4 linked regions of the Saccharomyces cerevisiae S288C genome follow. Changing the gene in region 1 together with any one later gene gives a genetic interaction. Each region holds a gene or a part of one and is shown in the gene's direction. Other genes may lie near its edges.

Region 1 (3,972 bases):
TAAATGTAGTGGTCGGATCGGCTAGAAGTTCAGACTGGGTGCCGCTTTCAACAACTTCACCTTCCTTCATTAAATATAAATAGTCATCAGATTCAATTTGGCTCAACTCATGCGTCAATATGATTGTAGTCTTTCCTTTCCTCCAATGCCTAATTGCCTTCATCAACAGGTTGCGATGAACAATATCTAGAGCCGATACAGCTTCGTCTAAGAATAATATTGGAGTATCTCTGATGAATGCACGTGCTATAGCAACTCTTTGTTGTTGCCCGCCACTTAGTGTGACACCCCCAGTCCCAATTAATGTTTCCAGTCCATCGGGAAGGTCTAGAATAAATCTATCCAGAAGAGCCATTTGACAGGCATCTTTGATTAAATGTCTATTTTCATTGGTGCTGCAATCGGCATTTCTTACCGAATCTGTTGAACCTAAAAGAATATTTTTTCTAAGAGTATCATTAAATAGGGTACAACGCTGTTCTACGACGGTGATATTTTCAATTAGCAATTTTTGGTCGATTGTTTGGATATTGTGGCCATTGATAGATATCGATCCATTATAGCCATCGTAGAACCTTAATAATAAGTTGGATAATGTAGATTTACCTGAGCCTGATTTTCCTACTATGAAAGTAAATTGTCCTGCAGAGAAATTTAAACTAACGTTCTTTAAAACTGCTTCCGAAGGTCTGCTTGGATAAGAAAACGAAACATTAGCAAATGTTAGATCACTGGTGGCATAATCTAGTGGAAATTGGTGGGCTACAGTTTTATTTAAAGGATTTCGCTTGGATCCATCTTTTAATAGAGTCATGATTTTTTCCATAGCCACTCCGCCTTTTTGAAGAACAACTATTTGGTGTAATGTATTATTTAAAGTCGAGCCCAGCATAATGCATGAATGGAAGCAAGTGATTACATCGTTAATGTTCAGCTTGCCCTTTTTGATCATTGCGGAACCAAACCAGAATCCCTGTACAAACATAGTCAACGTCAAAAATCTCAAGATCCCAGCGTTTGCAGCAACAAAAAAGCAACTCTTGATGAAGAAAGTGTTACAATTTAGTATGATTTCCTTGAATTTTTTCCTTTCTAGACGTTGTGTACAATATAATCTCACTAATTGAGCGGCATTCATCGACCATGTAAGTAATTGGGCTGCTTTACTCGTTTCAGAATTCTCCTTCTCTGAATATACATGAATCATTCTGGAAAACACCACTGCAAAAAATGTGATTATTGGAGAGCTGCAAAGAATAATTAAAGTTAATGACCAAGAATAGTAGAATGACGTCCCCAGAAGCGCACATATTGCAACTAAATTCTGGAAAGTTATGGCTGATGCCTCTGCGGAGCTTGATCTTAGCTCTTCCACACATCTGTTGATTTGAGTAAAATCTCCTAACAATTTTTCATTATTGTCGTACCATTCCATTGGCTTTTCCTCCAAATATGCCTCCAATATCTGTGACCGTATTCTAAAGCCTTGTCTCTCGCCGATGTGCATCCAACTTGTTAGAGAAAGCCACATTACTGGCACAGAAGCCGCACCAAGTGCCATTACTGCCATTGACCTCTGTACTAGTTGGGAATACAAACCTTGATGTGACCCATTAGCCACGAAAACTGATAGTAGATCGAACACTCTGCCCGTCAGGATAGAAGTAATTGCCGGCACTAGGCCTGTTGCCACGGTACCTATTATCATTATCATTAACAGCCTGTAGTCATTCCGTATGTTCACGTACCTGAAAATGTGATAGTGTTTTGTAGTCTTAAAACTTAAAAAGTTCATGACGTAGCTTGTTCTTTGTTTCCTAGTGGAATTTTCAGCGGCACTTGAAAGCTCTCTGTGTGAACGTAACAACGGGAGATAGTTCAGCCATATCCAGGTTTATAAGCTCTGGTATTTAAATGATGAACGGCAATAATGCAACAGTTTTCATATCTGAAACAATTGTATATGTGCGAAGCAGCGTGTAAATTTCCCTATTAGGTAATTACATGGCAAAAAAAATAAGAAACTATTTTCTTAAAGTACCTTTACCCTTTGTGGAAAACAATAAATTGTATAGTGGCAGAATAGAGAAAAGAAAAAGGAAAGGAACATATTTGTCAGTGCAAGGACCATCATTGTTTGAAAAAAGAGAGGATATTACTAGTAGGTAATAACAGCTATGTCGCGTTATATATATTATATATAAAAATTAAAAAATAGAAAATAAAATTTCAAATGCCCTCTGTGGGAATTGAACCCACGATCCCCGCATTACGAGTGCGATGCCTTACCACTTGGCCAAAAGGGCTGAGTAATTTTTATACCTGCTAAATTTGTGGCTCCGCTATACTTTACAGATTTATCTATTTTGAAGATGATACATTTAGCAAAAATGACCTTAAAAATGAAGCAGGTGCCATTTGCCTATAGCTTGGAAAAGTAGTAATGGTTATTCAAAAAGTTAGCAGCGAGATCTTTTTTCTATCGCGCGTTAAAACGTTTGAACAGATATATATTATTCAGCCACAACTATCTATATATAATATTTCTTCGATTTTTCGTTTTCTCAAGTTTCGTCTTATTGATTGATCAGAAGTTTACTGCGCTTTTGGGTAAAGAAGCATTAAACAAAGGAGAGAGAAATATTGCAAGGAAAAAATGGTGAGCTATGGAAGTCATAGTAGTGAGGTTTCGAAAGTTCTTAAAACGCCGAAGTTTGTGCTTAGGTATGGAAATGTATCCAGCAAACAACGTTTTGCCCTAAAGCGGAAGATAAATTACAAACTACGTGAAAGCAAATATCAAGAATACTTGAATGAATACAACACCTTCGTGCTTTACGACTGGGAAAACAGTGGCGCTGGTAGTCTTGTCGATTCTTCCTACAATCTCCCCTCTTTATGGAAGGAATTCATAACAGAGGGCATATCTAAAGGAGCAATAAACGACAAACTACCGACAGTCTTTATGAAGAGGAAGTTGACAAACTCAGCGTTGGGTCACTGTTTGGGACTTGATTTCCTGACTGATCCGAGCGAGTCAGAACATGAATACAGGTGCATGTTTCAGACAGTTCAGGACATCCCATCTCTCTCGCAACTGATCTTATTCAACAGCATGCCAAACGTTCCAGTAAGATTGAAATTGCATACCATTGGTATAAATATAAATTTCGGCTGCAAACGTTCCCTGATAAGCAACGGTGGTGATCAAGACACTGAAATGAGCGAAGCAGTCTCTTATATCCAGCCTTTATTGGAAGAATCCTCGAGAATGTACCGCAATTTAAACTACTGGAAGCTGTTAAAAATAGCACGAAATAACAAGAAGGATGAACCGTTGGATCAGAGCACGCGTATCAAGTCGCAAGTTAAGCTTTTACTGAGTCAATTGGCGACGAACCGAATTACCTCACCTTCCGTCACGGATCATGGGGGTCACAACTGGCTCATATTCACCAGAAGACGGTTGTAAACGATAAATATGCCATAAAGATCTGCGAACTGTACATATCCATATATAATGCGTATTATTTGGTGACTATAGCACTGGCTTCCGCCATCTCACTAAGAACGAAGAGGTATAATAAAGCATTGTGATGTTAAAGAATGACGATTAACCAGCATTTACAACAACTTCTCTTCAACAGAATAGACAAAACAACAAGCAGTATTCAACAAGCTAGGGCGCCGCAGATGTTATTAGATGACCAGCTGAAGTATTGGGTCCTGTTACCTATTTCGATTGTCATGGTTTTGACGGGTGTACTCAAACAGTACATCATGACACTTATAACGGGAAGCAGTGCAAATGAAGCACAACCAAGGGTAAAGTTAACTGAATGGCAATATCTACAATGGGCACAATTATTGATTGGAAACGGTGGGAACCTGTCTTCCGATGCATTTGCTGCGAAGAAGGAATTTCTAGTTAAGGATCTCACTGAGGAAAGGCACCTAGCCAAGGCCAAGCAG
Region 2 (5,504 bases), 410 kb from region 1:
CACGAGGCCGGCTCGATTTCATTTGGCATTTCGCGAATGTCGCCGCGAAAGTCTCGCGATCGATCGAGATGATGGCGCAGTGCAGTGCAGTCTATGTGATGAACAAAGACGTTCTCGAAGCACATCGCCAGGGTGCGGAGAACCGCTAAGACCCAGATGAGAGATCTCTGCAGAATTGCCAAGAATGCGCATGGACGTGAGCACAGGATGATAGTGAAAGAGGCGAGCTGAGCTTCGTTTTGCTCGAGGCTAGAACGACCCGAAACTGCCGCTTAATGATATGCTTTCTTTTACCCAATGCAGAACTAGAATGCGTGAGCGGGACTAGGAAACGTTCATAGCTAGCCCAAAAAAAAAAAAAAAAAAAAAAGAATCCAGTAATGGTAGAATTTTGATCTACAGTATGACGAAGAAGGTCGAGCCAGTTGGTCAAGAATTATAGCTCGCTCTCGAATAGCGTTATTTTGTCATCAAGTAATCACCACTGATAACATGAAAGTGGCCATCCATTCCACTTTCTGTTTTCTTTCTATTGAGTGGTCAGTTAATGTGCTACTTCGCTGAAAACTTCCTTGTTTTAGCATGTGGCATTCTCAGTGTACATAATGATTTATAGCTCAAAGGCTTTTAATGTTTAGGTAGTTACAGACCTTTTGCCGCCGTGAATTTTTGACGTCTTGTAGTGCTGTGATATAATTGGACTATAAATCATTACCCGGCCTTTTAAGGCATGAGTGGCGTTCCAACGTGCTGTCAAAACTATGAGACCAAAAACCAAAACACACCCCTAAGAAATGTATAGGGATTTATATCAGCATAAAGGTGCCATAATTAAAGAGATTTAGCCTGAACCCATTACTATTCTGTTACAGTTAAGTACTCATACAGACAGCTAGAAAAAGAAGAAGAAATACCAAGTACAAAGAAAGGAAACCATGTCCAAGTTAGAAACCGTTTACTTATACGCTGGTGAAGAACAACCACGTGTTAAATTGACCTGTATTAAGGAAGGTCTCACTTTAACTCAGGTTATCAAGTTCGTGCATTCTATTCAAGAATTGTACGGGATTGAGTTGCAAACTTCTGAGACCATAACAGAAAATTTGAAGATAGATTGTGCACCCGCATATTTGAAGCCGAATTGTATTCCCCATTTCTACATTCTCGAATATGAAGAAATAAGTGACACCTTTTTCATTTGGAAATCTGATGGTCGTTGGCAATTAAATAAGTTGTCTGCCTTGTTGTACGTGGATAACGACGCTAACGTGGTTAAGAACACTTCCTGGAAGGAGGTTTTCCAGAATGATCAACGATTTAAAAATTATGATAAACGGGCCTGGTTACAAAATTGTCTAGAAAAAATGAATAGAGATCTCTCAAAACTAAACGTTGAACAATTTTGGTCTCAATATGATAAAATATGTCAAAGCATTGCCAAACAAAAGAAAAAACAGGAACAGTTCAACATGGAGGTTTTCGATAACTTCAAAAATATTGTTTCTATTGCTATCATAAAGACCAAAGTTTTATCGAATAAGCGACTTTTGACAACAACTTTAAAAAATTATCATAACTCGATGAAGAAAAAGTATAACATCCAGGAACAAAATCTTAAGGAAAATAGTTTGGCATCGTGCTCAAACAATGAGCCTTCCGCATCTCTGGAAAGCGAATCAAGACATTTTTCTCCGGTAAATTCGCTGTCTCCTTCATCTTTGAGTACCGATGATGAGGCTGTCTCGACAGACTACATCTATAAAGGTCCTGAGTCTAAACCAAACGTGAATTTCATGCATTCAAGTGCTACAAACGATCTGATCAAGTCAAATTTTGAAAGCTATTTTAAATTGATGGCCGAAGACTATGAAACTTTTGACTTGAGAGCCTGGTCGAGACAAAGACCTCGAAAATTTCAGCTTGTGGAAAAAAAAAAAATCACTAAAAACCCTCCTAATAGCCATCATCCGCATAAAAATGGCAAAATATCATTTTAACTATTTCCGGGAAAACATGTCTTTTTATAGCATCTACATCCATTAAATCAAGAGAATAAAAGTAAAACTCCAAAAGTATGTACGTATATAGAACCAATTATTCAATCATTTATAGAAATGTGACCTGTTTTTTCTCTACTATTGTTACATAGGCATCACGAAAAAAAGTCGCATTATACGATACTGTTATATAATTTTTTTCATATTCTTCAGATCTCAAATGCAAGATGGTCCTAATTTGTTTGTTTGTTTATTTATTAGTTTCGCTGAAGAAGGAAAACAAGTCATTTTTGGTTAGCTACCCAATTATACAAGCATTCAATAAATACGCCAATCTTTTGCCACATTTCTTATAATATCCTTTGCCCTCCTTGGTGTTTGGTTCAAATAAGTAAATGATAAAAATGTGGAGGTTACAGATTGTACTGGTGCCGCCAAGTGCTCAAGATATTATCACATTTCTCGAAGCACGCTTGAATACTCCACAATCAGTGTCTCCTATGGTCCAGTATAATGAAGATATAATTACGCACAACAACAGTATCAATAACTGTAGCGACCCCTCTCCTACGAGCCCGTCTTCGCAAAATTCTATTCAGTCGAATCGTAGTAGTGATTTCATTAACTACCTCCCGAATTGTAAAAAGTTTTTACATTTTACGGACGGTGACAATACCCTTTTACAACTATCTAATGAAATTTTAACTAAATTTGATAGACTTTATCCAAATTTCAAAGAATCCATTGAAATCGTATCTCTACAAGATAGGCATGGTTGTGATTTGGACTCTGAATTTATAATAAAAGACGTATTTGAAAATGATGGTGTGGTTTTGGTAATTTTAAAAGATGAATTAGACTGGAGTAGAAATCAACATATTTCACTTTTACAATTGGCAAGACAGCGGAGACGGCAGGACAACAAGCCATCCACAAAATCCATCGTTACTGAAAAGAGAAAAAAGATCTCTAAGGAAGACTTATCTTCTATATCAAATAAAGATACAATGCATCTAATAGCTAAAAGCTCGCTCAAGAATAACTTCATTAATAAATCAAGAGTATCAACGCCGCTAATGAACGAAATTCTACCGCTTGCAAGCAAGTATGATGCACTGAATAAAGAAAAGTGTCCCATGCCACTTACTTCCACAGTAGTGGCATCAAATGTACACAAAGACGTAAAAGATCACGCTCGTGCTAAAGAGGGAGTTGTAACGCAAGGGAGTGATAACAATAAAGAAAATATACCTTCATCCACTCAACAACAGAAAAATGATGGCGCTAAAAGGGCCGAATCAAAGGATTTAGATCTTTTACGCAATTCGTCAGAAGATGCTGATTATGAACCCGCAGATGAAAACTCCCCTCAAATTTCGTTTGATTCGATTGATACCGACTTCCAATTGAGCACTACTTCTCATACTAATTCTGATATGCATATACAATATTCTAACCCCTCTAGTGGTGCTCATAGTCCCAGGAAGAGTTCCTTAGAAATTAAAGTTCAAAACAAAAAAGGTGATGATCTGCCATTGAACGACAAAGATATAGGTGAGAATTGTAGAAGGATAGAAGCATTTTCAGATGAAGAGGATTTTAATGAAACCGATAATGATCGTGCGGATTCGTTTATCAACAATTCTAAGAAGGCATCGATGGGATTTCGGGATATCAATTCCGACTTGGATAGCGTTTCATTCAACAGTGATATTGAAAATGCAGTACAAAGTACTCAAAGTACCAAAAATGTTGTTTCTCCTCCCTTTTTTCCTGAAAAAGAATTGAATAATCGGTTACATCAAAGTCAAGGTAAGGAAGCCCTATTTCGACTTGTTGAGAAGGAGTTTCCTGATAAATCATTGGGTGCTGCGTCATCTACTTCGCATGCAAAAGACGTAAAAATACAAGAAACTATTCGGAAACTAAATAGGTTCAAGCCAACTGGGGAAACTAAGGTCCAAAAAAGGAATAGTATTACGGAACCATATTACGGAAAATTTGGAATAATGAAGAAAGATAAACCCAAATCCATAACTTCAAAAGGGGTAAGTCTGGAAACAAAGCACTTTGATGATCCCAATACCATTATTTCCGGTGAGAAATTCGCAAAATTTGGTAAAATAAAAGTGAAACGAAAAACTGATGATGTTGGATCGAAAGTTATAGAGTTTAAAAGAAAAAGAAATATGGGGAATAGATCCCTAAAAGATATTTTTGCCAATGCTGGGAAACCGCCAAATGCAGCTTCGACCATAAAAGTAGTCAAATTAATGAGAGATCCTGTTGATAATAGTAAAGACAAAGTGGAGGCAACTTCTAATAGTACGGCTCAGGAACAAGAACAAGTCTCACCCAAGTTGCCAGTTATGAATTCAACTCCTGGAAAAAGAAAAAATGGCCAAGCGATACCGTCCAGTTTAGAAAGAACACCGCAGCTCAAGAAAGTCAAGGTTACCAGGTCGCATTCTTCACCTTCTTCTTCTTCTTCCATGTCACTTGAATCTTCATTGGATAGCTCTTCCTCAGATGATTCGGATGATGATTCTGATTCGAGGAACGTGCAAGTTAAAAAAATTAATTTCAAAACAAGTCATGGACCAGCTGGAAATTCTAATGGAAAACCAATGCTGGATGTGGATGACAATGAAATAAATACAAAGAAGTACCAAACACCTAAATATGTTGAAAGTGATGAAGACGACCAGTAAGTCTGTCAGTAATTATGTTGGGATCTCTCAACCATATCTTAAATATTCTTGGCGAATTGTAGTAATTTTTTAGACTGGTTAATGATATCATAATTAAATCTTCAAAAGCAACCAACAAAAGAGAACTAATAGCGTACGGTATGCATCAATTATATATGATTATAACGGACTTTTATTCATGGACGTTTATATCATTCTGGATTATTCGTCATTATTGTTCATTGTTGAACACAATATAAAAAAATATAAAATATGGTTGCTAAGAGATTCGAACTCTTGCATCTTACGATACCTGAGTATTCCCACAGTTAACTGCGGTCAAGATATTTCTTGAATCAGGCGCCTTAGACCGCTCGGCCAAACAACCACTTATTTGTTGAAAATTTTAGAATTCAAGTATACCCAGTCATGTATTAAGTTAATCTTTATGTCATCTTTCTAAACTTTATATGTGTTGGAATAAAAATCCACTATCGTCTATCAACTAATAGTTATATTATCAATATATTATCATATACGGTGTTAAGATGATGACATAAGTTATGAGAAGCTGTCATCGAAGTTAGAGGAAGCTGAAGTGCAAGGATTGATAATGTAATAGGATAATGAAACATATAAAACGGAATGAGGAATAATCGTAATATTAGTATGTAGAAATATAGATTCCATTTTGGGGATTCCTAGACCGGAGAGGAGAACTTCTAGTATATTCTGTATACCTAATATTATAGCCTTTATCAACAATGGAATCCCAACAATTATCTCAACATTCACCCATTTCTCAATATGACAACAT
Region 3 (6,232 bases), on another chromosome or scaffold:
AGAACGCACATAATGTTATTATATCAACTCGCCTGTATATTTTTGTACTACTTGTTCCAACACGAAAATAAACCAAAGTAAGAAGGGTTAGCACCTTTTTTTGCAAGAGAAATCGCTCTTCAACTATTTTAAGTCAATCCTATGAAAAAGGGTTTGCGCCAGATTTCCAGGGACAAAAAAGAAAGTTTTATGTAAGACTAGATTGTGTTGATATCTCGAGCAAACTGTTAACCATTTTAAACCAATATAGTAATAAGTGTGAATAATCGTTCATCTCTAAACAATATGTAAATAATTCTAAAGAACAAAATATTTTGTCATTATCATCAACCTGTGAGCACTGAAAAAAAATTAATTCTAAAATGGTGCTCCATTTGCAAATATTCTTTCTATTTCCCTGACTCCCGCTAATCGGTTTTATTAGTGAAGAATACAGCCGTGGATTGAAAAACAAACTGGTTCAAGTCATTAACTGAAGTAATGCGACCACATCTTATACAAGAGGCAATGCTTTCTAACAGTTTTACATTATTCAAAATCTTCACATAGCCGTAACTTAACTTATATAATAACCGCATATTGGGCTCTTCTGAAAGAACTATTATAAGAAAGATACAAAAGCAAGCAATCAATCCAAGGGAGAAAAATGACCTCAGGATACTATACCGTCTCATTTTTTTATGCGATCTTATTGTTATGCGCATGCACACGTGCTGAGATCTACCTGACGGGCGGTGAAAGCCAGGGCTTGCCATCAGGATTCTGGCAAATGGACGATGATTTGGCAATCGCTCCAGTTTCTATGGTTGAATTTTACCAGACGATAGGATTAACTGCAAATGGTACTGTACCTGAGTCCTTCAACAAGCGTGATGCTACTGAATACCCTAACATTATCAGTAATATAACTACCCAAGCAGCCAACTTCACTCAGCATAGTCTCGTCGAGCAACTTCAAAATGACGTCACGGCAATAAGTATCAGTAATGCCATTAATGTAGCCGTCGATGGTTCTGTGGAAACACCAGCAGACCTGCAATACAACCGCAACCAGGAAACAGGTGAATCTACCCTCTGTAGAGCCAAGTTTTACGGAGTGGAGGTAAGAACTTGGTCTAGGTTGTACAATAGGGCCGTCTCTTCCACAACTCTTACGACTAATTTGAACAGCTACATAGCGCAATGGGTAGCATGGGCCGTTCACGGGAGCGGTGACAAGAAGTTTTGCGGCAGCCAGGAGTTCACGAATATCTTTTTTGATGGGCAAGAGGGTTGGAGTTTGTTTGTCAAGACGTGGTCAACAAACAGTAGCTGTGATATTACAGCCTCTGAAGGAAATTTAACATGTGCAGTTCGTGTTTCAGTATCCAGTATGCACAATCACGGCAAGACAGCGTTTTGTGTTACCTATAGCCACGGTGATTCTTGGCGTGCCGAGCTGAGAGTAGTTGCCAATGATGCTTGGTCCCATTATTATCCCTGGAGTATTGACTGTCCAGAAGTTGATAAAAATAATATGGCTATTAATGATTGTTTTGATCAGGCGCAAGGTTAACGATTGAGTTTCCCATAATTTTTACCGCTCTCCTCTTGGTTGAGACGTATGCGAAAAGCTAATTCGACGTTTTTTATTGTAAAATCGTACACTTTTGCAGGCAATTCTACATATTATATAAGATTTAAGTCGGATCTTGAGACTTTTGGTGAACTTTGAGATGATTGTTGGGATTCCGTTGTTGATAAAGGCAATAATATTATGTATACAGAATATACTAGAAGTTCTCCTCGAGGATATTAGAATCCTTACAATGGACTTGATATTTCTACATAAAAATATTACGATTATTCCTCATTCTGTTTTTTATGTTTCACCATCCAACAGATCTAAACTCATTTCTTCAGGTATTTATAACTTTGATTGGTTCATCTTAGGCATACTCAATCTTACCTTTTTCATGCGTGTAGGAACGAAACTCTAAAATCATCTACGGGTTAAAATTGCTTATACGGAGGTACCCCGTGTTGAGATCCAACACATACAGAAATTCTGGGCACATGGCGCAGTTGGTAGCGCGCTTCCCTTGCAAGGAAGAGGTCATCGGTTCGATTCCGGTTGCGTCCAATGAAATCTTTTTGTACCAAGTTTTTCTCTGTTTTTGTTAGACCGCAAGCGAGTTTACCGAATCACAGCCCACCTCACCCCACAGGAAAACAGCAGCAGAACGGCTGCTAAATGACTATTAACAATAAGAGGTTTTCGGCTACTTTCGCTGCTTGCTCGTTAAATCCGTTCACTGGTAGCGAACCTCAACGACAGATGTCTATGTATGCTATACGTAAAATCACCCCCATTATGGCCATTTTATGTGTCGCCACTGCTACACACCCACCGATGTGTATGTACTTCTAATATCTAACCAGACCAGACCCCACGCTTTTTCTGGCATCTCCTGCTGCCATCTTGGTGTAGTGAGCGGAAACTTTAAACATTAAACAGAATGGCGGCGACTTTGAGATTTGGGCCCGCTGACGCTGAACGAAAAGAAAAGACCTTCATGAAAAAAATATTTTGCGGCAAAACGTCATCGGAGAACACAGCGCAGCGAGAATGTGGTGTTAGCCAGACCCAACAGTTTGCGCACCTGGCATGGATGGATGCAGATAGGTAGTGTTCGATGCGCAAGAGTCCAATCTTCTCCTCGCCATTTGCACCGGCGGATGTAACACTATATTTTCATTGACCTTAGCGGTTTTCTTTCTTTGACATGTAACATCATCACTTCAAGCACAAACAAAGAACTGTATACACAGACCACAAACTTGCATATTATTCTAACATCGGTGTTATAATAGCGTAGGTGCTCTTATCACTGCAAAGTTCATAGAAAATCCGTATTGTATCTCCCTTCTCCATCAGCAACACAGATCTACTTATCATATAGAACATGAAGGACAGTGTAGACTGCCCAAGCATTCTACCCACCGACCGCACTTCAGTGCTTTCCGAGACTAGCACTTTGGTCGGATCGAGTTCGCATGTATATTCGAGGCATGCTCCTATGAACAGTTATCATAACAGCATGAACAGCAACATATACCACAGCCCCAAAGCCAGTAGCCCTTTGGTGAGCTATAAGACATCTTCGCCGGTGTTATTGAAGAGGGCGACCGCTCCTGTCCTGCCAAGCTTCAAGCCCAAGGAACAGCGATATAATAAGCCGCAGGGTTGTTCGCTAATTACTGCTGTAGAACTGGGCAAGATTATTGAAACCTTACCAGATGAAAAGGTGCTCTTACTTGATGTTAGGCCGTTTACCGAACATGCCAAATCCATTATCACAAACTCCATTCATGTATGTTTGCCTTCCACGCTGCTGAGGAGGAAAAATTTCACCTTTTCCAAACTCTTGGACAACTTAACTCCTAGCGAGCAAAGCGTGTTGAAATCTAAACTGGCCATCGATAACCTTCGGATTATCATTTATGATAGCACCGCAAATCAAACGGAAAGTTCTGTTTCTTTACCTTGTTATGGAATAGCGTCCAAGCTAATAGAGTTTGATACTAATGTTAAAAAAACCGTGTCTATACTAATGTGTGGTTTTCCTCAATTCAAAATTCTATTTCCAGACCATATAAACACCAACACATTTAACTCAGATTGCATTAGTTCGGCTGAACCTAAAAGCCCCAAGACAAACCTTATGAACAGTCTACACAACACAGCGCCGCATATGACGGCGACAACACCACTATCGTCTCCGCAAATGAACCTTAAGTTGAAAGTTCCTGACGATAGTAGGTCAGATCATTCAAACTTTTCCAGTTCTCCCTCTCCGCGTAACGTCCTATCAGATTCTCCCATGTCTTCTTCTTCCCCCATATCTGCCTTATTTAAGTTCCAGCTGCCTGCACCACAAACAAACATAAACCAAATGTTCAAATTTTCGCAAAATGAAGAAATAATGGGTTTAGAGACGTATTTGAGTGCAGTCAACATCAAAGAAGAACATGAAAGATGGTATAATAACGATTCTGCCAAAAAATCTTTACAAAACTTCCAATTCCCAAAGAACCAAAATTCTCTAGAAAAGGACACTAATAAAGACAAACTAGGGTTTCAGATCAGATACGAAAACCTGAGCAAAAATTACGAAAAGGAGGTCATTGACTCCGTTATACCTGAATGGTTCCAGCATCTGATGTCAATACCCAAGATCGAGTTGGTTTCTCAGTTTCAAAAATTAGATTTTTTGGAAAAAAGGCGCTTGAACCATTCTGTCTCTTTCAGGAAGAAGGAAAACTCGTTTATACTTGAAAAGCCATCATCATATCCTGAACAGTTAACATCAACTTCTTCTTCAACAATCATGCCTCCAAAATTTCCTGACGTGAACAAAGTACAAAAGAGGTCGCATTCTCAGCCAATCTTCACTCAATACAGTAAATATAAATCGATGCTCAGCCTTGAATCAGATTCCGATTCGGAGTCAGATGACGTTATAATATCATCAGGCGTTGAATTAGGAGCCAAGAACAGGTACAAGGATATTTTTCCCTACGAGCATTCGAGAGTGATTCTAAAAAAAGGTTTGCAATCATCAAAAGGTATCAAGCATTCACATTCTACTTCCGATGGTGGCATCCTCGACAATTATATCAACGCAAACTATTTGTCTCTGCCAAGGTTTTCTGTAGAGCAAAATTCGTCATTTCAAACAACTACAACCACAACAAGAAGAGTGCGCTATATAGCGACGCAAGCTCCAATGCCCTCCACTGTACATGACTTTTATACATGCATATTGAATAATGGCGTTCCGTTGGTTCTCTCATTGACAAATGATTTCGAAAATGGCATTGAGAAATGTTATCGATATTGGCAAGAAGGTAATTATAACGGTATTCACGTTAAATTGTTAGAAAAAAAAATATTAAAGATGCCTAGCACTACTAGCATGAGGAAAAATACTATGGGAACACAAAATAGTAGTTTATATTCAGCTGGTGTTCAGGGAAATAGTAGTAACTATAGTACTGATAATGATAATGATAATGACAACAATAATAATAACAATAACAATAGTAATATTGCTGTTACTGCTGCTGCTTGTGATGATGATGATGATGATGATGATGACGCAATTCTCATAAGAAAAATTCTGCTAACATATCATGATCAAGAGAAACCTTATGAATTGTTACAGATTCAGGTGAAAAATTGGCCTGATTTGGGCACTTTACTCAATCCTATCTCAATCTTACAAGCAATCAATGTCAAGAATCACATAATAGATACACTATTTGCCAGAAATTACTATCAAAACGACCAACTTCCTACCATTTTGGTTCATTGTTCCGCAGGTTGTGGAAGGACTGGTACTTTGTGTACCATTGATTCCATTCTATCCAATTTCGAAATGTTTGAAATGTTGCAGAAAGAGTTTGTTAAATTAAAATACCCGGCAAAGTTATTCGATCCAATTTCATGGACAATTAATATTTTTAGAAAGCAACGAATATCCATGGTCCAGAACATTAATCAATTTATTTTCATTTATGACTGCTTGCTATTTTACTTTAGATTACGTCTTGATGACATAACAGAGAGAACGGATGGTGATGGAAGTAACAAGGACAATATATCATTAAGTGCATTAATTGAACAAATCGAAAAATTAGAGATCTTGCAGACATTCGTGGATGATAAGTTGAAAGAATTGCCACAATAGTTAGGCTAATATGAATGTATTTGATCTCTATTTTATTAATACGAAACCCCTTAATAATTGATATTTTCGATACATATTTGGCAGTAGTTAGCTACGTAACAGAGTATTATTTTCATTTCAAGTTATGCATGAACTCTCTAATTTCACATACCATGCTACCACTACCCTTGGAGGTTTTGTTCATATCTTTTATAATAAAGCTAAAACCGAAAAGGTGAAGGGAAAAAAAAACTATTAGAGCCTGTTTCTTGTATATAGTAGTATGTAATATTTGCTTCGTACGCTTAGTTCATCCCAATAGTAATTCATAAACAATCACCAGTATATTTATTCCAATTAATGGTACTACAAGAATAATATACGAAACGTTAGTAAAATTTTCTCACAAAAGGTGAAAAAGAACGGGAAAAAACTGATGAAATGTAACTTTAACCGTTCTCCATCAACATAACATACTCCTCAGTAATGTCTGTACGGCGCCAATCAATTGAACAACCTTG
Region 4 (4,443 bases), on another chromosome or scaffold:
TCTTGTTGCAGCCTAGAGGACCAACGACATCGAAGATGTAGTTGCACTTAGTCGCTTCATGTACACTCCGAATCTTGAATTTGTCGCTGCACCGAACAAATACAGTAGCCGATCTGCGCGGACCATTCCAGCACTGGTCTCCATTTTCGTATTCTAGTACCAGACCATTATTCAGTTCGTTTAAGTTCCCGAATACGTAATGTTGCATGTTACCGTCATCGTCCTGTATAGCTGCTAAGTTTGAAATCAAATCACTCTTCTCATCATATGTGGCCTTTAAATGTTCTGCGTATTTTTCCATGTTTAAGTCAACATTAAAACCTGATGTCTTAAAACGACCGATCAAAACTTTTTTACCGTCAACCTTATCCTCAGCTTGATATATGACACCTTCGGTCATTGGACGTTGAAAGCATATAGTGTACACATAGTTGTCCAGTATGTCGTCAAGACAATAGGATTGTGATCCCATTAGTTCTAAAAGCTCAGTCAGATTTCCTGCAGTAGAATTAGTTCCTTCATCTTCAGTTTCATCTAATAATTTCTTATAGTCCATTTTTTGCTTTAATTCATTCTCCAGGAGACTGACTTGACTTTCACAAGAGCGGAATCTCTTCTCTAATGAGACCAAATCTTTTCTAGATGAAAAAATATTCAGCTTAGATAGAATCTCTTTGAGTTTATTGCGCAAATCTCCAGAAGTACCGATATGATCGCTGTTCGTATCTTGTTCTGACTCAACAGCGTCTGGTGGCAATACCTTTGGTGCATTCTCGTTCACAAATGATGTTACTTCGCTCAACGATCTCAAAAGGCTCTCTGACGGGTGAGCTGGTTCTAATTCAGCCAGTTCGCCGTATTCACCTAGGTAGTTTTTATACGAATCGACAGCACTTTTGACCCCTGCATCTTGAAAGTTAACATTGTAATTCTGAGAAATATCATCCATAATCAAACGGAATTCTCTGATATACTCCAAGATATCGTTGGTATAGTTAATTTTACCCTCCACTAGCGCTTGAACAAAATTGGATTTTCCTATGACGTACCTCAACGTGTTCTCAGATTCTCTTTTCAAAAAAATTTGAGGTACTTCTTCTGTAAAGTACAAGTAAAGATTATCTGCCTGCTCATCATCAATTTTGCTATCTGCATTAATTTTAGCCTTTTCAGCCCGTCTTCTAACTTTTCTGAATTTTTTAATATTATCATTGACAACTTTATCATTTAGCGAGGGAGTATAGGCCTCTGATAAATCACTTAAAATCTTGAATATGTCCTGGTAACCTTTACTTACTCTTGAAACCATAGTGAACGATGTAAGGATGTCCGATCCCAAACGAGTACTGTTTAATTGTTCAAATTGATACAAAATGGGATCATGGCTTAATTGGTTAAAGTACTCGCCTCTCAACTGCTCTAATTTGGCTCGATTTTCTGAGAGCCTGTTGGAGAGTACTTTTATCTCGGCAGAAGCTTTTTCCTTATCTTCTTCTAAGCAATTACCACGGGTGATAGCCTCTTCCTTTGTACCGTATTTTCTTTCCAGTTCTTCTAGGGCCTCTTTACCTTCCCGGTAACTTGATAACTCTTTAGAGGCCATAATGTCAAATTCGTTTTTTAACTGAGAACAATTAGATCCAGCATCAAAGAGCTCATATCCAGAAAGTAGCTCGTCAGAACAGTCACAGCAGTCACAAATACCATCTGCGACTTCCGATTTTCGTATATATCTTGGAATAAACCCCTTGTTATCACAATAAAAATACTTATTCACTTTACCACCTCCCTCTGCAACGCTTTTGAATATATCTTCCACGCAGGCGGCGCTGCCGGGCTCATCTGAACCATCAGGACAATCACAAACCCCATCATTAATCTGGCTTATATCCAATACGATATCTTCGTGGTTCAAACAGTGCCATTTAGTCAAATCTGGTTCATTCGAGTCATACAAGTGCTGCTTTTCCCAGGGAACACCCACTATATGCCGTTGACTTTGTTGCAATGACGCTACAAGCGGCGATTGCTCAATTAATAGCAGAAATAATGAGAACATGCTCACCATAGCGAATCTTCTTAATGAAATAGCAGAAGTGCCTTTATGCTTCTTAAATGCAGTGCGGAAGCCTCTGCTTCTACCATAACATCTTCCAACACAGTCTTCATACACTATTATTATTCATTTTATGGCCGGGTAAGTATTTTAAAAGGCATTGGCAATACCCGTTTTGTTTTGACCCAAACAACTGTTTATCATTATTCCTGGTGCTGTCTTCTTAGAAACTATAAACGCTTGTGCACCTACCCAGTATTTAACCAGTTGGGAGGAGATAACAATATTTACTTACTTTTTCACAAAATAGGAAAAGGAAAGTTATACTTTGCTATAGTTTAAACAAAGGGAAAGTTTTCAAATAACCAAGGAGTCTCTGTTACTACTTGCTAAATATCCTCATACAAAATATCAAAACAAATTGGCCAAACTGCACAAGGAAAGTTCACTTTTGTTCCAGAATTAGTTATAGTTCCTTCAACCACATAGATGACATTATTTTCTTGTAGTGTACAGATGCCGCTGGAGGAAAGGTCCCTGACAAACTTACCATTAAACCTATTGTTCCGAATATTGTCTCACCTGGATATGAATGATTTACAAAACATAGGGAAAACTTGCACCTTGCTAAGGATGCTGGCGAATGAGAACATTGTTTACAGAAATGCTGTTATCGGCTCAAACGGGAATATGTGGTGGACAAAAAATGTTCTTGTTGATGTCTTTGATGTTTTGAATTTTAATAGAAAGGCAATGAAAACCTTAAATAGTCACAACATATCCCTGGTCGCATCATTAAGAAATGTTCAGCGGAAATATAAACTAGGCGTTATTGATCCGGCTAGAAAGACAATAAGTTATAGAACAAATGAAGTTGAGAGCAAAGAAAAGGGCTCTGTGAAAGATTTAAATATGGATTTGAACGAACCTACAGAAATAACAAGGGAGCAAATCGCTCATACTGCAATACTACAAGGAATGAATCAATTCATCGAACTCAATGATAAAGCATTTAGGACCCATTCAGCGGATTCTGATGATACATACATAGAGGAGAATAATGGAGAAATACATTCTCTCCACGGATTGGAAAAAAATACAACATTTGAAGAAGACTTAGTCAAAAAGCCACCTTTTATCCCTTCTCCGACATTTTCTAATTATTCTAGAAGTTCAACAAATTCTGTATTTTCAAGTTCATCGCCCAAACTACTGGACGATGATTGGAATAATATTACAATGGATTTCACTAAGTCACGAGATCCTGATTATAAAGAGATGACGCCTACATCTACTGAATCGTCTGACTCAATCACAAGATTGAGAAAATCTAATAAAGTCAAGGATAAAGCCGAACTTTTTGAGAAGTTAATTTTTAGAGATAGCAGACCATTAAAAACAAAGAAAAAGGACAATCCAAGATTGAAATTATCCAGTTCGTTAAGTGCTAATGACGAAGATTTTAGGAAAATCATAAGTCCCCCTTCTGACATACTACCGAAAGTTGGCAGAAGGAGCGTCTCAAGAGGTTATTTAGAGGAGATTGAAAGGCATTATCCCGATTTTAACGGTGAAACAACTAATCCTCTAGCAATTAAAAGAGTCAACAGTACAAAGATAGCAAATTATGAACAATTAATTATAAAAGAAAATAGCTCGAACTGTAAAGGAATAACAGAGAAAAATGATGAAAATAAATTTCAAAGAAGTCACACTTCCCCAGTAATAGAATTATCCAAACCTCATCAAAGAAGCAAATTAAAGGCGGTTGTTACAGACGGTAATAAGATATGCTATCGCAAAATCGAATTGGATAACCCTAGTGGGTCGAATACGAATGATCATGTAATCAAACGGCTTGACGCTAATACCGATTTTAATATATAACAGAAAACGCCTCAAACCGACTTTGCTTGGAAGAGTTTTCTCTGAATTAGCAACGGAACTTCGAAATGGTTTTAGACAAGCATGCATGGTATGTAGAAACAGTTAAAGAGCGCCGCTACCATTTGCACAGATGTACATATAAATAAATGACTTATTTTTTATATTCTATCAATAATAAGACAATTTGTGGTTGCCTTTAGAAATTTCGTGGCTTTTTTTCATATATTCTAACTTCAATAAAGTTTTTTTGATGCGAAATTTGATCGCTCATATTAAGGACGCCTGAAAAAGACATGCGTCTACATTTTGTGTCATTCCCATAAGAATAGTAAGAACAGGCATTTTTATAAATCGATACAAAAAAAGAGCTACTATACGTACATAAAGTCAGTAAATAATCAAATGTTCCCAATGAAAGATCACTCAGCTCTTGAACAACATACTCTCAGCAGAGATGAGTTAAGACGTCGCAAGGGTTACAAGAAAGGACTGCAGTTGTC

Evidence for each region.
Region 2: mutations in CBT1 (region 1) and TOF2 together harm fitness more than expected from each alone (negative genetic interaction), as found in Saccharomyces cerevisiae (2 studies listed by BioGRID).
Region 3: mutations in CBT1 (region 1) and PTP3 together harm fitness more than expected from each alone (negative genetic interaction), as found in Saccharomyces cerevisiae (2 studies listed by BioGRID).
Region 4: mutations in CBT1 (region 1) and MFB1 together harm fitness more than expected from each alone (negative genetic interaction), as found in Saccharomyces cerevisiae (2 studies listed by BioGRID).

What each region holds. Positions count from the first base shown.
Region 1 is NC_001143.9:44,501-48,472, forward strand, and holds CBT1 (Cbt1p), read left to right. Parts: upstream 1-2,656; coding exon 2,657-3,472; downstream 3,473-3,972. Other genes in the region: ATP-binding cassette a-factor transporter STE6, read right to left, coding at 1-1,795; ER membrane complex subunit EMC3, read left to right, coding at 3,694-3,972. UniProt on the Saccharomyces cerevisiae protein: Involved in 5'-end processing of mitochondrial COB, 15S rRNA, and RPM1 transcript. May also have a role in 3'-end processing of the COB pre-mRNA.
Region 2 is NC_001143.9:458,128-463,631, reverse strand, and holds TOF2 (Tof2p), read left to right. Parts: upstream 1-2,392; coding exon 2,393-4,708; downstream 4,709-5,504. Other genes in the region: chromatin-associated RNAPIII regulator FPT1, read left to right, coding at 936-1,997.
Region 3 is NC_001137.3:307,913-314,144, reverse strand, and holds PTP3 (tyrosine protein phosphatase PTP3), read left to right. Parts: upstream 1-2,945; coding exon 2,946-5,732; downstream 5,733-6,232. Other genes in the region: YER076C (uncharacterized protein), read left to right, coding at 647-1,555; YOS1 (Yos1p), read right to left, coding at 6,022-6,077, 6,189-6,232. UniProt on the Saccharomyces cerevisiae protein: Major phosphatase responsible for tyrosine dephosphorylation of MAP kinases FUS3 and HOG1 to inactivate their activity; it also has important roles, along with MSG5, in the inactivation of FUS3 following pheromone stimulation.
Region 4 is NC_001136.10:904,955-909,397, reverse strand, and holds MFB1 (Mfb1p), read left to right. Parts: upstream 1-2,545; coding exon 2,546-3,943; downstream 3,944-4,443. Other genes in the region: GTB1 (Gtb1p), read right to left, coding at 1-2,068; septin SPR28, read left to right, coding at 4,346-4,443.